2 linked regions of the Astyanax mexicanus genome follow. The protein of the gene in region 1 purifies or fractionates together with the protein of each later gene. This does not show direct contact. Links are inferred from orthologs where the notes say so. Each region holds a gene or a part of one and is shown on either strand. Other genes may lie near its edges.

What was found.
Region 2: the proteins of pex1 (region 1) and pex26 purify together in Homo sapiens (affinity purification with western blotting; 3 studies listed by BioGRID and IntAct, with this or other methods). This does not show direct contact. The link is inferred for Astyanax mexicanus from reciprocal best matches to the Homo sapiens genes PEX1 and PEX26.

Annotation. Positions count from the first base shown.
Region 1 is NC_064410.1:48,089,420-48,099,800, reverse strand, and holds the start of pex1 (peroxisome biogenesis factor 1), read left to right. Parts: upstream 1-6,212; 5' UTR 6,213-6,323; coding exon 6,324-6,431; intron 6,432-6,540; coding exon 6,541-6,681; intron 6,682-6,789; coding exon 6,790-6,873; intron 6,874-7,694; coding exon 7,695-7,809; intron 7,810-7,892; coding exon 7,893-8,593; intron 8,594-9,204; coding exon 9,205-9,324; intron 9,325-10,381. Other genes in the region: efcab1 (calaxin), read left to right, coding at 1,297-1,452, 1,541-1,645, 1,732-1,883, 1,972-2,076, 2,278-2,313; rbm48 (RNA-binding protein 48), read right to left, coding at 2,415-2,474, 2,565-3,166, 3,257-3,402, 3,849-4,039, 4,823-4,945. UniProt on the Homo sapiens protein: Component of the PEX1-PEX6 AAA ATPase complex, a protein dislocase complex that mediates the ATP-dependent extraction of the PEX5 receptor from peroxisomal membranes, an essential step for PEX5 recycling.
Region 2 is NC_064409.1:30,363,072-30,374,085, forward strand, and holds pex26 (peroxisome assembly protein 26), read left to right. Parts: upstream 1-6,092; 5' UTR 6,093-6,249; coding exon 6,250-6,437; intron 6,438-7,708; coding exon 7,709-7,855; intron 7,856-7,956; coding exon 7,957-8,288; intron 8,289-9,455; coding exon 9,456-9,617; intron 9,618-9,820; coding exon 9,821-9,918; 3' UTR 9,919-10,517; downstream 10,518-11,014. Other genes in the region: foxm1 (forkhead box protein M1), read right to left, coding at 705-896, 1,132-1,256, 1,482-1,893; rhno1 (RAD9, HUS1, RAD1-interacting nuclear orphan protein 1), read left to right, coding at 3,724-3,903, 4,950-5,699. UniProt on the Homo sapiens protein: Peroxisomal docking factor that anchors PEX1 and PEX6 to peroxisome membranes. PEX26 is therefore required for the formation of the PEX1-PEX6 AAA ATPase complex, a complex that mediates the extraction of the PEX5 receptor from peroxisomal membrane.

The sequences.
Region 1 (10,381 bases):
CCCAGTGTCAGTTAAATATTTTTACAGCCAGTCCAGACAGAAATTGCATTTTTTTTTTTTTTTTTTTGCAATTTTACTTTTAAAACTAGTTTATTTACTTAATGTTGAAAGCAAAAAAATGTTTTTAGCCTATGCTTCCTTCTAATCCCAACTGGCAATGGATCATTTTTAATTGTAAAATAAAATAGTAAATTACTTCCCTTACAAAGACAAAGTTTTTCTACTGGTTAGGTCCTACTAATCCCAAATAGCTAGGAGAAATTAAAACTGCACACAGTTTCAAAGTTTCAGTCTTTAAACATTTACATAATAACAATGTAATAAATAATACCTAATGTATTCAGGTGAATAGCCGCACCAGCAGAAGTGGTTACAACAATTCTTAGTTAAAGTTCATATAAATTTTGATGTAATCAGTAGTGAAAAAAGTGAGCAACTAGTCCAAGATCGTTGGCATAAACTGGGCCATGGGCAGCTGATCTGTGGTGGGTGACTGGATTCATGAAGAACAAGCAACATGCAACATTTTCATAGTGTGGTTCCGGCCAATCTGAATATAACAGCCTAACTAAAGGGAGAGAGCCAGAAGGTAACAGACACGGAGGCACCCAAAAAACAGTGGCATCCACCCACTTCACCAATTTTCTTCATGTCCAAGTACAGCTCTAAAACCAAGGAGTCGCACATTTGAATTAGGTAAAATTGTATGTGTTTACTTCAGGAATGGACATTATTCATTTTCTGAAGAGTGAGAACCCTGTAAACTCTTCTTTGCATTTCAGTCAGAGAAAAATGTCCTATTTTGTCTATTAGTATATAAAAGCCTACACCTGTAGCAGCTCTAATTCTTCCATAAAACAGAACCAAGCCTTCTTACCCAGCAGTTTTAATGACAACATAAACGTATAATACATTCCTTTTCTAGCCAGATACTGCAGGTCACGATCATTATTACATTAATGTAATAATGTAACACTTTATCAACAATTTACATTCTGCTACCTCATGACTTTTGACATGTCAGTGTATATACAGCCTATACCCATACAATCCTAAGGTCTCTAATTAACAATTTAAACAACAATGAGCCCAAAAAGAGATATGTACTATTTCAATGACCTCTTATCTGTGTACCAATTCATGCTGATTATTTTAATATGACCTGTAAGATGTTCTGATTGCAGTTCTGTACATTATTCTCTACTTAAATCTTTTTTTAATACTGCTCATGGTTTGTCCAACTCTGCCATTATCTGAAAGTCAATAAGTATAACCAGAACAATCCTCTTACTCTAGTTAATAAAACAGAGGCAGAGTGCCTCATTCGACTCTTTAATGAGTTGCTGGAAGGGCAGACAGAGAAGAGAGCAGGGCTTGGTCTGGACCGGGGAAAATTCAGAAACATCCTACACAACACGTTTGGACTGACAGACGACATGATTATGGACAGAGGTAAGGGAACTATTTCTATATGTAAAGGCTAGAACTTGTAGAAGTCAATATCACATCTCTAAAGCCAACATTTCTCCAACCCACACAGTCTTCCGGTCCTTCGACAGCGACAATGACAGCTATATCAGTGTAAAGGAGTGGGTGGAAGGACTGTCAGTCTTCCTTCGAGGCACCTTGGATGAAAAGATCAAATGTAAGACTGAGCTGAACAGATTGTGTGATGAAGATAATTCTCAGATCACTGTTCTTAATCCATGCTCATTTCTCTAAAACGATCAGACTGTTTTGAGGTGTACGACCTTAATGGAGATGGCTACATATCGAGGGAGGAAATGTTCCACATGTTGAAGAACAGTCTGATCAGACAGCCGACTGAAGAAGAACCTGATGAAGGGATTAAGGACCTTGTGGAAATAATACTAAAGAAAATGGTGAGACCACAGCTGGGGAGATAGTTGAGCACAGTCAGTCAAAAATATAACAGATACACTAAAAATGATTTCTGTTTTCGGCATTCAGGATTATGACCATGACAGCAGACTTTCATATAGTGATTTTGAGAAGTCTGTAAGAGAGGAAAATCTGCTATTAGAAGCTTTCGGAACTTGTCTTCCTGATGCAAAGGTAAAATTGTTAAATTTTACGTTTTGCAATGTTCTGCATGAGTGTCATTATTGTTTTAATAATTTAATATTCTTACTATACCATCCATCTTACTGTAATAATACTTAAAATGACAGTTGTCTGTCTTCAGATTTTTTTTATTTTGACATTTATAGAAAAATACAATTTAATAAATAAATGTGTATTTTTGTTTGTTTTCAGAGGACCCTGGAATTTGAGCAACATGCTTTCCAGTAACAAGTGAATCACTCATATAAAGAAAAATGAACAGTGCTATTTTACAATAAACCACTATTACAGTACATCAATAAAAAATGCACACTGAAGACAAGAGAAAATTATATTCTTCGCCGTGCTTTTACAGCTGTTGTCTTCTTTTCAGATGGAACTGATGCAACCTAAAAAGAAAAAGAGAGACAATTTCAGACATACGTTTTAACTATTCTATAACATTCATAACAGTAAAAAAAAATACTTATAATGCTGACCTTTGACATTGTTTGCCTGATGATGTTTGCCGTTTTGTTTAATGATGCATCTTCCATGTCCATCTTTGGTAGTTCTGGTAGTTTGGGTCCATACAAGGGGGCATTTCTGTCTGCCACACCTAACAAGTCTGTACTGTCCTCCATTTTCCTTTTCCTGTTTTCTAATTGTGCAGTCCTTGGTATAAACCTTGGTGCAGTGCTTGGCGGATGTTTGGGTTTTTTGATAATACTTCTCTCTTCGTTGCCAAAGGTAGAACCAGAAGGCAGGTCTGACCACTGTGTGGTCTGCTTGCAATCATCTGGGGCACGGTTACTAGGGATGAAGTTGTGTAAAGATCCCATTCTATCTTCTGTAGGTACACTGCCTTCATGTACAGTCTTCACAGACTTAAATGAGTCCTTAGATGAAAAATAGTGCTGATGAACTCTTTCATGAGGTGGTAGCGGCAATAATGGAAAGCTAGAAGATGTGCTGGAACTACAATTGTCCTCTTGGGAACTTCGAGGACATGTCCTATCTTCATACACTGATGATGGAGCTGGTGTCTCTGAACTGGCAGGAGTTGTTTTCTCTGTAGCCTGTTCTTGCTCACATTCCCTTTCTGTAATAAAGGTGCAGTACAACCAGACAAACTGGTTAATTACATGGATTGCAGAAACAAAAATGTGTGTGATGCAAGCGTACAAAATACCTAATCTTTGGGTTGTTCTGTAAACATATCTTCTCCTGTCCTGTAACTTCCTTCTTGTGTCTTCCACAGTCTCATGTTCAGGGGCATAGCAAACATGAAGCAGACCCCCATAGAAGCTTCTTTCATCTGTTTTTCTTTTGGCAGCCCTGAAACAGACAAAATTACTCAGCTATCAACAGATCTTGGGATATCTTAAAATGTGCTTGAAAACATGCATGATACATCTTAAGAGGCATGTCTTAACCAAGGAGGACATGTGTATACAATGTCCATTTGATAACATCTTAAGAGGCATGTCTAAACCAAGGAGAGTGTGTCAATAGAACGGTCATACTACTTCGAAATACTATCCTATCTATGATGTATAATGGGGATGTGTTTTTTAAATTTTATTTTAATATGGTTTGGCATATGGTTTAATGGCAACATTCAATGAAACTATTTAGCCTAAGTAAAATACATGCACATTACAGGGTTTAAGAAAAATGCTAAATTATTCTTATTTTAAATAAAACACAAGTGACAATTTTAATCTAACCATGCTATCTACTGTATGATTTACATCTTTCCATGTTTGAGGTTTTATTCTCACCTTGCACTTGTAAGCTTTTGGAACTTGATAAGATAAACTTCAGTGAACTGTTCTGCAGGATACTCATCCAGTACTCTGTATTCTTCCACCACTCCATAGAGAGCAAAGAGCTGCACCAGCTCAGTCATTACCCCAACAGCAGGCACTCCTTGCACCAGCAGAAACCGAGACTCTAGGTTAATCGTATAAACCTACAGATTGACAAAGCAGAAGATACAGGATACAGTCAGGATTAAGCCGAGCCGTAGACTGTTTTGCTTTATTGTGGAACATTTCCATTCACAAATATATGCGGCCCAAGATTAGACTTCTTTGTCTGGGAAACTGTCCCTATATATACACCTCTGGAAAAAAATTGAGACCACTTCAGTTTCTGAATCAGTTTCTCCGATTTTGCTATTTATAGTTATATGTTTGAGTAAAATGAACATTAGTGTTTTATTCTATAAACTATAATTCCAAATAATACTGTCATGTAAAGCATTTATTTGCAGAAAATGAGAAATGGCTGAAATAACAAAAAAGAAGCAGAGCTTTCAGACCTCAAATAATGCAAAGAAAACAAGTTCATATTCATAAAGTTTTAAGAGTTCAGAAATCAATATTTGTTTCTCTGATTACTTCTGATTAATTCTACGTGTCCCTTAATTGTTTTGATCTATATTAATTTAGAATGTAGAAAAGACAAATAAATAAACGAATAAAGAAAAAACATTGAATGAGAAGGTTTGTTTAAACGTTTTACTGGTACTGTAGCTATATAATTCAGTATACAGATAATATATACTTCATTATATATTATGTATTGTCTATCTTTCTGTTAACTAACTATAGATTTGGGGAGATTCAGTGATGACAGGGAGGCTCGTGTAGCCAAACAGCTAACTTAAGCTAGGCTAGCAGTCTAAACACTGGGGCTGTAGGCCCGTTATTCTCCTCTCAGTACGGAGTTTCAGTAAAAACAGCTCACTGACCTTCACAGCCTTCAGTCTCCTCCCTTCTCTGTACTTCGGGCGGGTGAGACAGGCGCTCTGCTGCTCGTGGTGTTTGTAGACCTGCGGTGTGTCCCACACAGAGCCCGGCTTCAGAGCCGCCATGATGATTACCCAGCGTCCCCGACAACAGCGCAGAACTAAACACAGACCCAGACCCGAATAATCAATCACAGATAGTGATCCACGTTCAGCGAGAAACACATACTGAAATAAACTGTAATCATGTAATAAAAAATGTTAAATAAAAATTTTAATAAATACAAAAATAGACAATAGTATATATTTTTGTACTAAAATATAGTACAATATATATAATATCGTATCATGAGAAATCGAGGATGTATCATCATTACTTAAAGAACACTGACCCAATCATACATTTTATTACAGAGAGTGATTTAATTAATAATCACTGTACAAAACATTGTGAAAGAGCATTTAATAGCAGAATATGCTACTGCTGATACATTTAAATAAATACTAAATACTGTCTGAATACTGTGCATTGTGAAAATGTCTTTAAATATTGTGTAAAATATTTATCAGTGTGTGAATATGTACAGCATGGGTGGAAACCCAAATTTATACTTTTCATATTGATATCAGAATTGTAGCGTGTCAACCAAAATTAAGAAATATATTTTGTGATGTATGTTTCCCACACTTTTGCCTTAAATATATTCTGAATGTTTCTGTATTCTGAATGTGCAGAGAGACATTTAAAACTATCATTACCTAGATAATCATTGTTTTAATGACAAAAACCTATTAAATCATGTAATATACATGCTAATGCATTTGTGAAATGGTAAGAAAAAAAATCTATTTTAACCTTTAATATTTTTAATAATTTAAATGTCCTACATGTATGAATATTTTATTAACAATATAAACATATACCCTTTCAATTTTATTTGTATTATTTTTATGATAAAAATATAAATGTATAAATAAAAAATATTTAATGTATAAAAAAATATAAAAATGTAAACATATATTTTTAATATTTATTATTTGTGTGGGCAGATTGATCTTTTAAACTATATCACCTTCATGTCACATTCATTTTCTAATGACAGGACCTGTTAAATTCTGTAAGATACATGCTAACACATTTTTAAAAATGATATTTAATTTAAAAATCTTTAAATGTAACATTTTTAGTTCATTTAAATATACATATACCTTCCCTAATTTATTTTGATTATTTGTGACCATTTAAAAACAATATTTCAAATATAAATAAATATTAAAATGTGAAAATATGTTTAAATGTTTATTATTTGTTAGGGCATACTGAGCTTCATATACATTGTAGTGATGATCGCACGCTGGTGGATGGATTGGTCAGGTCTGTCTGACAGTATTGACATGTTCAGCATGGCGCCTGATCCTCTGTAGTGCAGCAGGTCCTGAACACTAGTGCTGATTTATACAGTCTTTCAGCGCTAAAAGAGGCTTTAAAGCTCCTCTTTATGCAATGTTGGGGAACTGCGGAATCCAGCCAGTAACTCTGGCCTTCAACAACTCCAAAAACTGCTTTCTCCACCTGCCATCCAACTTAGTGTCTCAGCTCTCCCTCAGAGAGGTGTGTGTGAGAGTGGGTGTGTGATAGTATGGCTACGCTGCTCCTGCTTTATTAACTTGGGGTGCAGTCTAGTCTAGTCTAACTGTCCTGTTTTTATTGTCATATGCAGTCACAGGCCCTGGAGCTGTCCTGGGGATCATCTGCTCCAGTGTTCCTCAGCTGGATAAGAAGCCACGCAGCAGGTCAGGAGGACAGGGTTGAGCTGAACAGACAGTTAGGGGAGAAACTGGGAGTTCAGGAAGGAGAACAGGTAAACTCTGGAGTTGGATAAATGTCTGTATTACAGTTAACTGTAATTTAAGTTGATGTGATTTGCTTTTTATTTTGTTTTTTTATTTTTGTTTTTGATGTTTTTCAGGGCTTCCTGCGTCCATGTAGTCAGGTACAGTCTGTGCAGCAGGTGTTTGTAGAGCCTCTGTCCTCAGATGACTGGGAGATCCTGGTGAGTCTCATTCACCAAATAAAAAAACACTGCCCACCCACACTAAAAACTGATAGGCTGACTCTTAGAATAGGAGAGTAGGTTAATCAGAACCATCTCTGTTTTGTATTCACTCTGGCAGCTTCTATATGTAAAGGTGTACGATCTTCATTGTCCCATTTTGAAAATTTAATTAAACAGTAAGATTCAGTTAATCAAATTAATTGGATTAACTTCCCAGGTTGGGACCAAGTTTTAGTTTAAGGGTGCTTTTATTGCTTACTAAACTGCTGTGTGAAACCAAAACTAACCGGACCCAATGTACAAAATGTAACAAAGGCACAAACCTCAGTGCAGACTCTGGTCCAAACTTTTAGGTGTGAAAACACCCCAAGATTTAATTACAACTTAGTTACATGTTTAAGTTGAATACAACTTTTTAGACTGTTTTTTCTTTGCTGTTATGTATCTGTATATTCTATAAATTCCACTGTTGCACTGATGCACTATGCTTGCACAGGGTAGCATACAGTACAACAGGTCAGAACATATTTAAAAATAAGTCACTGCTGTAACCATATTGGTTTGCTCACTTCATGTTTTTTTGTTTTGACATGTTCCCTTTTTCTTACACACCTAAACCAAAAGGAACAACACGTTTTGGATAATGTTATAAAGTAAAAAAGTTAGATATTAAAGTTTACTTTTAGTGGAGTTAAAATTAAAATTATTCAGCCATGTTTATATACACACATAACAAAAAAATACTTATATACAGCAACTAATTACATTTACTTCATTACTGCCCTTTACTGATGACACCTAATGCCTTTGTTTTCCAGGAGCTTCACAGCACAGCTCTGGAACAGCACCTTTTAGACCAGATTCGAGTCGTTTTCTGTTCTGGGGTGTTTCCTGTGTGGGTTGACCAACACACTGTCATCTACATCAGGATAGGTCTGTTTCAAACACTTTTTATTAAATACTTCTTTAAAATCCTCAGTTCTGTCTGTAAATTGCTGTACCTCTTGTTCTTGTAGTCTCCCTGTCTCCATCTGTTCCGTATGGTCGATTAGAGCAGTTCACTGAGCTGGTTGTTTCCCCCAAACTCCGGCATGGAGGCAGGCAGCTTGCCCCAGTTTCTCCAGATACAAAGAACCCGGTCTTGCAGAGGCAGCAGAACATAGACCGTGGATCCTCCTCCACACCTTCCTCCACAGGAACTGATTCTTTCTCTGAGTCCATTCACAATCAGCCGGAGCCCAGTCAGAGACACTGGGCTGGAGTACCTGACCTGCAGAGCCTGGTGAGATATGTGTTCACAGGGAAATATGAGCCCGCCAAGGAGATTCCAGAAGTGCCCACTGTCCCCGCAGTCTTCCCAGATTGTGTCCTGAGAGTGTGTGGAACCCCACCCGGAGCAATCAGACATCTTGACCCAAATCATGGAGATGTTCACATGCTGCCATGGGACCAAATACAGTATGACTATTGGAGTACACAACAGCCAGTGTTAACGTATGGTAGAGTTTCTAAAATTCATTCTCCCAAAGAAGTGAGAGAGCAAGCCAAGCAAGCGATGGAGAAGAAAAAGAGTGGAAATAGCTCTCAACCTAAAAAGGAAGCACAGGAACCAGTGGAGGAGTCTGTGGTGGTCAAGATCCTTTGCCATAACACAGAAAAGCTGGAAGCAGACCAAAGATCCTCAGGAATGAGAGAGATTTACTGTGGGAAGGTGTGGGTAAGTGTTATACACTGATACACTTTACTTTTCTAGAATTAGTCTAAAACATTTGTTATAAAAACCTAATCTTAAGTATCTAATGAAAAACATTTATCCCCGTGTGCCTTGTCAAAAATTCTGGATGAATGGGCCAATAGAAATTTCCCAAAATTAGCTGAAATAAACTTTTTTTTTTGTTTTTACATTTACGTCCATTGAAAGAAATTTTTTATTTTTCCCATTTAAGTTGTTGTTTTTATGATATATGTTTTTTTATTGGACAGCAATTGGACTTGTGTACTAGGAAAGTAACAGTGCACATGTTTTTAGATTTCATATGACATAGGGCTGGGCAATATGTTGTGATTTTATTTATTCTAAATTATTTTTGGAAATTATACATAATCATAATCTTTATAATATCACAACTGCTACATAAGTTACCTTTTTTGTTAAATTTCAAAAAAGATTGTGGGATCCTTTGTGTGGAAATCATTTGGTACTCTGTAGATACATTGCAATTAAAGAAGCAGCATAACAACTTTATTTGACCACAAATCAGTGCAATGATGAATAAATAAAAATGTAAAAAATAATACATTTATTTTTTTATTCTATTCTCTTCACAGATCCCAAACATTTTACGATCAAGGCTGAGCATAGGCCTGCATTCTGCCGTGAGAGTTCGTCCTCTAACGTGCACCCCTGCAGTTGCACAGGCTGTCTTACTTCAGCCACTACGAACACTAGTAAGTGTATCTTTCTCTCTTAACTTGAAATATCAGACAAACGCAGTTCATTTATAATAAACTGTTAATAGTCGGACTAATAGCTGAATCAGAGTAGAACACGTGCGTGTAAACGTGTAAAGGTCATTCTGAATGCAATTTCTATTTGATTGAACGAGGTGGATAATCCTTTAAATAATCCATTAAATAGAACAAAAAATAGCCTTGTAAACACATGTACCCGATTAGATCTCCAGTCCGAAAGTAAATATTGCGCATGTACATGTGCTGCACGAAGGAAGTTTATAAAGCTGAACATCACTCCTCACTTTTATCCACTGCTTCCTAGTCATGGGCGGTGGGACTGGCATCCAGCTCACTTGCCTCAGAATGTTCAAAGACATTGAGGACGTAAGTTCTTCGTCTCTACCCTTCTTTAAAAAGAAACTGTGAATTAGGTTGTTATGGAGTCCGCCATAATTTTAACGCTGTTAGAAAAAACAAGCTTACCAGCTGCAAATTCTGGAAACATAACTAGTTATCCAGTTACTGTTGCTCCCCTCACGCTGGCTGGCATCACGTGCGGCCCGTTGTCCTTGTCATGGTTACGTGTACACTAAGCGATACTACACATGTGCGTCATGTTTGATTGGATTACTTGTAGCGTGCACATAATTTATTCAGATAGGAGAAAAGCTTTGCATGTAAACATAGCCAGTGTTATATGTGTTTATATATATTTTTTCCTGAGGTAGAACCAGTTAGTCCGTTCTCAGTTGACCTCTCTCATCAGCAAGAGATTCTGTCTGCAAAACTGCAGCTCACATGATGTTATTTTTTTATTACACCACTCAGGGTCAACTCCGGGAACTGCTTAAAATCACTGAGATAACATTTCTTCCCCATTCTGATGATTAATGTAAACATTTCCTGAAGCTGCTGACTTGTATCCACCTGCTGTTTTGTGAATGCTTTGCACTGATTAGATCACTGCGTGAATAAGCAGATGTATATCTCTGCCTGATGAATTGCTATGTGAGAACACCTATATGTTTATATTTAAAACATATCGTATTTA
Region 2 (11,014 bases), on another chromosome or scaffold:
AGGGGTTACCAATCATTGAAACCAAAAGCCACTTCATAGGTACCAATTAATGCTACGAGTTTGATATCCCCTTGTAAATTTCACACATTTGCTAAATTTACCTTAAATTATAAGTTATTATATAATATATTATATAAATCTCTGTAAGTATTTTACATTTTATATTATATTTTAATATAATACTACATAATATTACATTACAGTTAGCATGGTAGCTTGTGTGACTCATCCTGAAATGTCTCTCCACAATGTGCCTCTTTGCCATCGCCACGGTCTCCCCGCAAATGAGACACACACAGGTACCTTTCAGTTGTAAAAAATAACTTTCTTCCATTCATTGTGAAAATATATTTTCTTTCTTTTTTCTGCCATGTTGTCAGGGGTACATTGTCTCCTCACCTGAACCGATAGCTGGTCTCAATGGCAATTGTGGGCTATATCTAATTTAATATGGAACATTTTTTAAAGTTTTTTTTTTTTATTTGTTTTTAAATTTAAACCAATGCATCTGTGAAAAAAAGCTATTTTTAGAACAGGCCTGCGGGTTACTCAAAGTCCTTGTGGGCTACCTGGTGCCAGCGGGCACCATGTTGGTGACCCCTGGTTTAGGAACTCCTAATCATCTGTGATCTGGCACAAAGTTGACAAACATACAACTTTTAAAATTAGAAAATATTCAGAAAATGTTCTGCATTCAGTAATACCTTCCATCCCGGTTTGGCCACATTTCGATAGTAAGGGAAGTGGCTCTCTATCCAGTTATATATTTCCTTCAGTGTCATCTTCCTAGATTTCTTGCTGTTTATAGCAAACTGTATCATGGCCATGTAGGAGTAAGGTGGCCTTTCTGACAGAGGGATCTTAACTGCATCCATTTCCTCTTTAGCTTGCACTGGCTGAAAGAGAAAGCATGTTGATTTACAACAAGGAATCTCTAGATGCTTGCAGCTAAACTTTAAAAGAAAATGGTATGTCTGCTGCTGTGAACCAAAATTCTACTGGTAATTAAACTCATAATTAAGCAGACAATAGAAACAGTAGCTAATGTTTTTAGAATATATGGATTTTGTTATATAAATAATTATAATTATATTTACAGGTTTTCTATTTAAATGCACTTTTAGTATGTACCTGTTGAAGATTTTCAGATGATGTCTTTGCAGGCTCAGATCCAAGAACATCTGTGCTCATTTCTCCTAGCCACTGGATGCTTGTCAAGCTGTTTTCTAGTAGACTGCAGTTTGCTTCCTTTTTCACTGGCAAAACAACAATAAATGTGCGTATATTCTTATGCAGCAATTGTATATGTGAAGTTAATTCTCCAAATGCTCATGTAGAAATTACTAAACCAATACAGTGCAAAAAACAAACAAATAAACAGACATTGTCGTCTTTTAAAAACACTCACTTCTGTCACCTGTTAAATGAACATTTGGTATATTAAAGGTTTTAGGGTTTAAATAGTTCATATCAATACATACAGGGTTTTCTGTTTTCCAGCAAGTCTTCTTTAGCACATCCTTCTGGTCTACTTGAAGTTGCTCTAGACTGTGTCTCTGAAGAGGCACTGAAGAAAGGACAGACTCCATCCTCCAGACTACTACTGCCACTCAGTAAAATGAACTTGTTTGGCCCCTGAGGGCCACATTCCTTCCCTTTGGCAGTCAGCGCCCCGATGAGACTTTGAAGATCTGCAGTCTTGGGTATGACGACTACCTGTGTGTCAGGTTTTGTAGGATGGTCCATAATACAGATGCCATGAGGAAAGGACTGAGCGCTCGCAGTCGAGGCAGTCTTGGACTGAGGCCCATCAGTCTCCTCATCATGTCCACTTCTCTGAAAGGGTAGTTTCCTCCTCTTAAGGATCAGGGGCCTCCTGGGACTTTCCCTCATTCTTTATATCGCAGTGATATGGCTATCGTCCTGTCTGGCAGTCTGCATCAAGAAGAAAAAAAAACTGTTAATATTTAATTAGAGAATACTGCAAATGCTATCATAGTATTTGTATTTCATGGAATTTTCATAATAACTATACTCTTGGCAATATGACAAAACACTGAATATAATTTTTCTTAATGTATATTTTATTTTATTATTCCATATGATGTGATATAGCACACCCCTATTAAAAATAATTTTATCAGATTAGTAACAAAAGCCAATGATCCAGAATGTCATGATGCTAATAATGACCTCCAAATATTTTCCTACAAAGTAGTAACTTAACGTTAACCTGTTGTGATGATTAAAAGTGGGTGACATGGCAACGATATTTCAGGGTATATTATTGTTCACTATATTCCAAAAAAATGGCGAGATCACTGGCAAACCCCTATATCGTACTTATTAATAATGTAACGTTACAATCAATAATTAAGTAATAAAATACAAAATAGCTATCCAGTAAGCATAATATGTAGCTAGCTAAGCTAACGATAACTAGTTAGGTTATCAAAACAGCCGATCATAGAGTCACCTGAAATTCCGAGCACTGATGCAAGATTCAGTCTAACAGCGTTATGAGAGGCGTTACAAGTCAAACACCAGTAACTACAGCTAAACGTTACTGGGTGCTGATCGTCCTCCTATAATAGTTATATTTCTCTCCGATGGATGTTTAATCTCAGAACCGACGGTACCGGACGGCCGACCTGCCCACTTTTGAAAGTAAACGGATCCCGTGACGTACACTAGAAAACAACAACGCTAAAACATAATCGATATAACGTTATGTTTATGTTACACCGCAGGTAACCTAGGCTAACTTAGTTAACTGTTTGACTTGATCATTACACACTCTGGACAGGTGAGATTGCTGTGTGTGCTAACGTTATGCAGTTAGTTACCTAAGCTAACAGCTAACTACACAACGTTAGCATACACACACTGATCTCAATACGGAACCATGTAGCTAGCCTAGCTAACGCAGTTATATCGTAGGTTATGTATTTTTTTGTCCAGACTACTGTAAGTGAAGCTGTGCGCAGTTCAACAATAGCTGTCTCCAACGCATACGCCATGATTTCAATAAAGCACTTCTGCTGGCTGCAGCCGGATTTGTTATCTAGTATCGTTAGTTTTAGCACGGTCTAACACAAAGACCCGTGTCCAGTGTGTTAGCGCTTCAGTGCTACTCCCAGCAGCCTGTGTTAGCGCATATCTAGCCTCAGCCTGTGCACTAGCTAGACCGTCGCTTATTAAAATCGTTAAATATAAAGTTAATCAAACCTTCATATTACTCCAACTGCCTGGTAGTTAAGAGTCTTGTCGTTCTGAGAAGTTAAATCAGTGGACGAGTTCACTGTCCGCTCACTGCAGCAGGCGTGCACTAACACCAGTTTGAATTTTGGCGCAGTGCTGCGGGGGAGATCACGTGACTAATGCTCGACCAATAAGGTTGTGCGACGCTAGACAGGCCAGTGTGGTGAACCAATGAGAGACGGGAACAGAGACATGCAAGTCGAGGAGTGAGCTCTATTTTATCGTAAAAAACTTCATAATAATAACCACTCTACCTATGTTTAAAACAGTGATCAGAGGCAGTGTCTGCGATGTGAGCGTGTGTAGACTGTGTGACATACCGCCGTGGTTAGAATTTATGTCCTGAACTGTAAGCTACAGGCATGCGCAAAGAACCAGCAGAGCCTCGCTGTTCTGTGATTATGAATATATATGTAGTATGTGCACACTCTTTTCTTTAAATCAGGATTATCATGACTTCTCATGCCTCGTCAAACACGAAGACCGCGGCTGCCCACTCCACAAAAATCTCATCTTCTGTTTGTAGAACAGCCCAGAAACGGCACGAAGCACGAATACGGACACCAGTTAAGAAGCGCCATTAATCCGAGATCCTTTATAGCTGAAGAAACGTCTCGGAAAAGCTCCTCAGTTTCTTCATGGGTAAATATACACCAACCAGCATTCTCCCACACTGTCATGTGTGTGGTTCATTTAACATTTATTTAAAAAGGTAATTAATTACAGGTTTTCTCTTAAGGGGCAATTCTGATTTTTTTGTGAGGTTTTTGAGGTTATCGATAAGGAAGAGGGTCGGGGAAAAAAACATTGGTTAGTTTAAAAATAATTTTTGCCATGGTGTTTTGGGCTTCGCCCAGACATTTCAGATTGTTTAAAACATTTTATTATTTCCGTACACACGTACGAACACCTTAAGAGTGACCCTCCATGTAGGGGCGATAGAAGAGCGAGATATAAGCACAACATGAAAAAAGAAGAAAACACCGAGGTTCAGTCCCAAATCACACACTGCTTCCTATGTAGTGTATTGTGCAGGTCGGGAAAATAAAGATTCTTAACCTAAATAGATCATTTTATATTCATACTAGATCAGTGTTTATATAGTTATATGGAATTTGTTGATATACTAATAGAAAGCCTTATGTGACTACGGAGCAAGAAGGTCTTTTTGAGTTTCAGATAGAAATTTGCATTAAGGTGTTAAGTGAGTGTGTACATGCCCAGGCGCAGTCAGTGGCGCTGCTGCAGGGCTTGGGGAACAATGACAGTTAAGGGCTTGGCTCCCGGGGTCCAGAAGCTTGTGGAACTCTGGTATTAAACCTGGATTAAAGATGCACTGTATTATATGAAACTTGGAAAATGAATTACATCCTAAAATTATCTAAATCTAACTTCTATAAATTAATGTGTCTAGATGAAATATAGCTCCAAGGTTATGAAGATACCAATTAGATACATTTCTTGTTTATTTGTATGTGTAACCTATTTACTAATAACCACTAGCCATTGGTATTTTGTTATTTTTATTTACCTATTTATTATATTTTTCTATTTTAAAAAGGAAGATTTTAACAGTAAAGTAGCAGTTAATGTACAATGGGAATATTTGATAAATGAATTATCTAAAAGGAGTGCAGTAAACATTATTGACAGTAAAACAATATTAATGTGAATTTTATTTATTGCAGGTGTCTCCCCAGTTTATATCCCAAAATGACACAGCAGTCAGACGTGGTGGACGTAGGAGGAAGAAGAATCGCCTTCCCACAAACACAATGAACACAACCTCAGCTCTGTCTTTGCATCAGGTCAAAAGAGCAACTGCTGGAAGATACTCTTCTTTGTCATTTAGGACAAGCACATCAGTTTCACAGAGACATCACGGTGCTTTCCACAAAAACACTGCCTCCAGGGCTGGGGAATTACCAAAATCTCAAGATGTGAGGCGTTCTCAAAGTGACAAAACGGGTTCATCTCTCAATCAGAATGAGGTTCCTGAAGAGACTCCTAGACAGGGACCTTCTCTCACCGAAAGGGGGCAGAAAAGAGCTACACCAGATCCTACACTGACCCCCAACAGGACCTCGGAGTGTGTGAAAACACCACTTGAATTCATACATGGAAAAGGGAGCACTGTACGCTCTCATCACAGGCCTGCACAGGAAGCAGAAGACACTAGCTCTTCATTCACTCCTCCCCACGTGGAGACTCCTGAAATACCACACAGTGTGCACTGCCTTTCCTCTCCCGTTCTTTCCATACCATTTTTTACAGATCAGCCAAGCACTCAAAACATGAGTGTGTTAGTGAAAGACACGCCTGAGAGAGACTATGGTTTGAAGGTGACTTGGAGAAGGAGGAAAAAACTAATGAATTTACTTTCAGAACGAGGTCAGCTCTTGGTCAGTGAGGCAATGATCAGCCGGACGTGGTTATAGACTGTCAAAATGATATGCTGTATCACTTGCCTGCAAACTGCACTGTTTAAACGTGTAACATCATTGATAGAAAAAATTAATGCCGCTTAAAATATTACTGTTAATACTATTGTATTTTATAGCTTACATTGGAATATGTTAAGCTGTATTTAAAACACAAATTAAACATTTGTGTACAAACAACTGAGGTCTTTTAATTTGTCGTTTGGTATGTTTTTTTTTTTTTTTTTTTTTTGCTTTTTGTTTACGGAAGCAGCGTATGTAAGGGGTACGCTCCAATTAGAGCGGTAAACTTCCAGCCAGAAAGATGTCTGATGAATTCTGCTAGAGGGCGAAATCCTACGCCCTACCAAGCATGCTAGTTAGTACCGAAGTGAGTATATTGGAACGCAGTACTAAAGGTAGGAGGAGGGGCGACTGGAGTGTGTACCGACGCGTCTGTTGCAGCTTGAATGTGACGGAGATTAGTTTGTAAATTGTTTGTAAAAACGTTGCTGGTAATTTAAACGGATTCGCCATTAGATCACAACACGCAGCTGATTAAGCCGCTATGCGGAGCAGCTCGTCAGCCTCGTGTCGCCTCGGCAGTCCTGCAGCATGTGTGTTGACTCCTCGTGCTGGACTGGTGCACGCTGCCGTCCAACATTTAATGATTACAAAAGATTTTCAAGCAGCATTTGACACGTGTGAGAGGGGACTGGAAAGTTTATTTAGCGCTGAAGATCAAGAAGAGTCGTGGTGGGTGTACTGAAACGTAGCTTCACACTTGCAAGGTTTAGGGTCTCCCAGTTTAGTGGAATACCATACGAATTAATTGGGATTATTGGAGTCTTGTGTAACCATTAGGCCGAGATAAACCGTGGAAAGCTCGCCTTTCCACAGTCGTGCATTACGATCCATATGTTCTTGATAAATCGAATGAGCTGTTGATTTATTGCAGTTATTTCATTGTCGTATCGTGAACTTGAATAAGTAACGACCTATTTAAAATTGGAGCACTAAACAATATGAACATGCATTCATATGAAAATATTATGAGCATCTCTTTGTTACTACTCACACACTTATTTGTGCCACTGATCATATATGATCACTTTGTAGTTCTGTACTTACAGACTAATCCTTAATCTGTTTCTTTGCATACTTTATCCTCCTTTCACCTTGTTCTTCTATTGAAACCAGCACAGAGCTGTTGGGATAACTGTGTTCACTCACTGTTCACTTTATTAGTTGTTTAAAAACTCTTGACAGTAGGGGTCTGACCCACTAATACCAGCACAACACACATTAACACCTCATAAACCCCCACCATGTCAGTGTGTGCAGTGCTGGGAGTTAATCCACCGTCCAAATAACAGCTGCTCTGTGGTGGTCCTGTGGTGTCCTGAGTTTTGAAGATCAGGGTAAAGGGATAATAATTTATGCAATAAAACAAAATGACTACACACTGTAATTTTAGAACTAGAAAGTGTTTCTACATGGTCAGTGGAAATGATAAATCCTACCCATTTAAAATTTCTAGTGTAGAAACAAGGACTGTACAAGTACAACACAAAGTGTACATGTATCCTTTTATTTCTGTATATATTAAATATATATATATATATATATATATATATATATATATATATATATATATATATATAATGTGAATGGCAATCCCACTGATCACATTTAGAGTGGTTCATATGAATTGCATACATGTATTGTGATATTATTACGCATTTAATAAAAAAACAAGAAGCTATTACATGACTGAAATTCCTTAATGATAGAGAGGTACATATACAATAGCAAATTAAAACTGACAATTTTACCATCATAAACCAGTTGATCATCATTATTGAATATTCAATTAAATGCATATTTGTTGACTGGTTGCACTGAATATTAAATAAATTATTGGTATTGTGGACTTTGCATCAGATGACTCAGCATGACTTTTCAAGAATTCTATTTAATTGCGCCAATGTAGGTGTAATTTTACTCAGATCTGTTTGTCTTCATAGTTCCAGACATGGTGAATTGAAGGCATCTTTTTGCATAGTCGGAATTCAAGCTTTGGCTGAGCTTAACCAGTGGCGTGATGTCCTTCAATGGGTCTTACAGCACTATGGGGAAACAGAGAAAATACCTGCCAAGATCATGCAGATGTGGTAAAAGTATTGCTATTGCTTTATGCCCGTTTGTGCTTGTGTTTACTGTTAAAATAGCAATGGAAAAAAACAAATAACTATTATATAATATACTATTACAGCATTCTTTTGTACACCAAAGTGGCTGAGCAGGCAGAAGTGCTGGAAGCAGTCCAAGCTTGGCTGCACTGCCCCAGTAACATGAGCCATTCAGGATACAGCAGTGTAGCAGAGCTTTACATGTTGCACATCCTTCTGCCACTGGGCCAAACCAACATGGCCATACAGCTGCTGGAGGACGAAGTGGGCCAGGCTGCATTTACTGAGGACCAGAGACAGACTGCACTAACTATAGTAGACAATCATAGATCCAAAAGAGAGTCCACTGTGTATCCAAGCCCTGAAAGTGTCTCAGTAGAGGCAGAGACTACTGGCAGAGTTCATACATCCCAAGGTATGTCTCATTAAGTGGTAAAAACAAACACTATTGACAATTTCTCATGAATAGTAATGAAAGTAATAAAGTACTGATCAGTTTTTTACATACATCTATGTCTGTAGATTCTATTATACAATTATTTATTGTAGCCTGTTTATAACTACTTTTAAATACACTGCCCGGCCAAAAAAAAGTTCACACATTCCAATATTTCGTTGGACCACCTTTTAGCATTAATGATGGTAGCGTCTGGCTGCTGCACAAAGCCTTCTCCAGCACATCCCAAAGATTCTCAATGACTCTGTGGTGAACAATCCATACATGGAAATTATGATCTCATGCTCCCTGAATCACTCTTTCACAATTCTGGCCCCATGAATCCTGGTATTGTCATCTTGGAATATGCCCGTACCTCCAGGGAAGAAAAAAATCCATTGATGGAATAACCTGGTCTATATTCAGTATGTTCAGGTAGTCAGCTGACCTCATTCTTTCAGCACATACTGATGCTGAAAGAATGACCTGAATAAAGACCTGATCAACTACAGCACCCCCAAATCATGTACTTAGTTAAATCTAGGTGGCGACTTTTATTTGGTCAGGCAGGCGTATATGTAACAATCTTCAACTCCATACGTAAGTGGAAAGGGGCCACAGTAGGCTCACTTGTCCCCTAATATTACAACCCCAAACCAGGGCTTGTATTTTTCATCATAGCCTTGACACTCAAACTGTGATGCTTGTAAACACTGTAAAATTAACAAGCATTTTATTGTACAAGTAGCTTATTTATTTCCATGCACATTTGTGTTCACCGTCCTTGTCACAGTGGTCAGCTTCTGATTATAGTACCACTGTTAACTGGATATTTTGTCAAGTTTTCAACTTTGCAGTCATATTAAGGCACCTAAACCTTTTGTGCTTTCTATGTATAACGTTGCAGCATACCACTATGCTATGATTATGCCAGTGTCACTAAAAAATCTGCTCATTGGTGAACATATGGTTTATCTGATTATATGAGGAGTAGCTGATGAACAGTGCAGCAAAAGATGGGCCATAGTCAGTAATAGTAAATGTACATCTTTTAAAAATACAGGTGCACTGTACATGTATATGATTTAACTAATTGGAATATCAGTGTCGTTTTTTTTTTATAATTTGTGTGAACACTTCCTAAAGGGTTTTACCTTTTAGGTTCTCTGGTCCAACGGTTAAACGCTCTGGTGAGATTGTTGTACAGAAGTCTTTCTGCAGCCAGCACTAACATCAGGTCCCGTTCTCTTCAAAGAGCTTTTCTGCTTGTGTTCCTGCTATACCTGCTGCTTGTCCGCAATGACCCAGGTAAGAGGACGGGTGTGTACAGCTCCTGTGTGTTCTCAATAACATGTAGCTGGTGGTGTGTGTACACCCAGAATAGCTCAGCTGATTCTGATCTGTTCAAATTGAGCATAAAAAAATTTAATAACTGCTATCGAAACCAACAATGCTTCAAAAGCATTTAATAACAGATCATTCATTTATTTCAACACATTTTTAATCCACAGCTTTGCCCTCAGCCTATCCATGGATCCTTCGCCTGTACAGACTCTTCCAGCAGATGTGGAACACCATGTTCGGACCATATTACAGAGCTTTCTCCTGAAACCTTAAGTAGTTCTCAGCTACGTAAAGAAAAACAACACTGGAAATACCAAAAGAGTAAAAGCTACTGTAACACTCAAGTACACAAATGCTCTTAAGAACTAAACTTGTCAGAAGTGTTTACATGCCATGTCCTAAGATTTGTAAGGTTTATTCCCTATTAATTAAGATGTTTAACCTTCAAGCTGCATTAAACACTTCTTTCGAGTGCATGAAATTTAATGTAATCCTAAGGATCAGCTGTCCAACTTTTATTTTACATTGTTAGCATTTGGCATCCTGTCCTATAACCCTTGTTGGTGTATCATGATAAACGTGTCTGGCCGGGAGTCAAACCCTAGTCTGCAATTTTCAAAGAGGTCTAGAGTTAATATATTCTGTAAGCAGCAGCCTGCAAGCGTGTCATTTATTTAGTTGTGGGGTTAGAGATTAAAGCATTAACTGAGATTAAATGAGTCACCTAACTACTTAAACTAAGTTGTTGTGTGTTGTAGTTTTAAACCATAATTGTTTTAAACTAAACCCACCAATGTGAAACATGCCAATACTGTTGCACTGCTACATGAACTGCAATAGAAATAAAAAATAAATAGATCTGTATTTTTTGTGTGAAGTATGATTTATGGAGCATTTTAGTTTTGTAAACATAAAAGTAAAAATGAAGATTTAAACTTTTCCTATGTAAAGGTCTTTCTTGAGTGGGCTAACAGACTACTTTGATCCTTGTATCGCTGGTTTAAGTCTCAGATCATGCTGCTACATTATCGGCAGATAGAGCCTCAGACAGCATAAATGGCCTTGCCCTATCTGGGTTGGTAGTTTGTGCTCTTTCCCCCATCATTCCTAGGGTAAAATCGGTCAGCACATACATCTGCTAGCTGATGTATCAGAACTACCCAGTAATGCTACATCAGTGGTGGTGTAAAAAAAAAAAAAAAAAGGTGGGAAAAGGGGATGAAATTACAGAGATGCTTAATTTTTTTTGTGATGCAGTCACTTTTAGGGTTGTCACAATATCAGAATTTTGACTTCAGTATCAACTGTTATCATGATTATCGAGACCAAAACGATACTTGAAAGAAGGAATACAAAAAAAA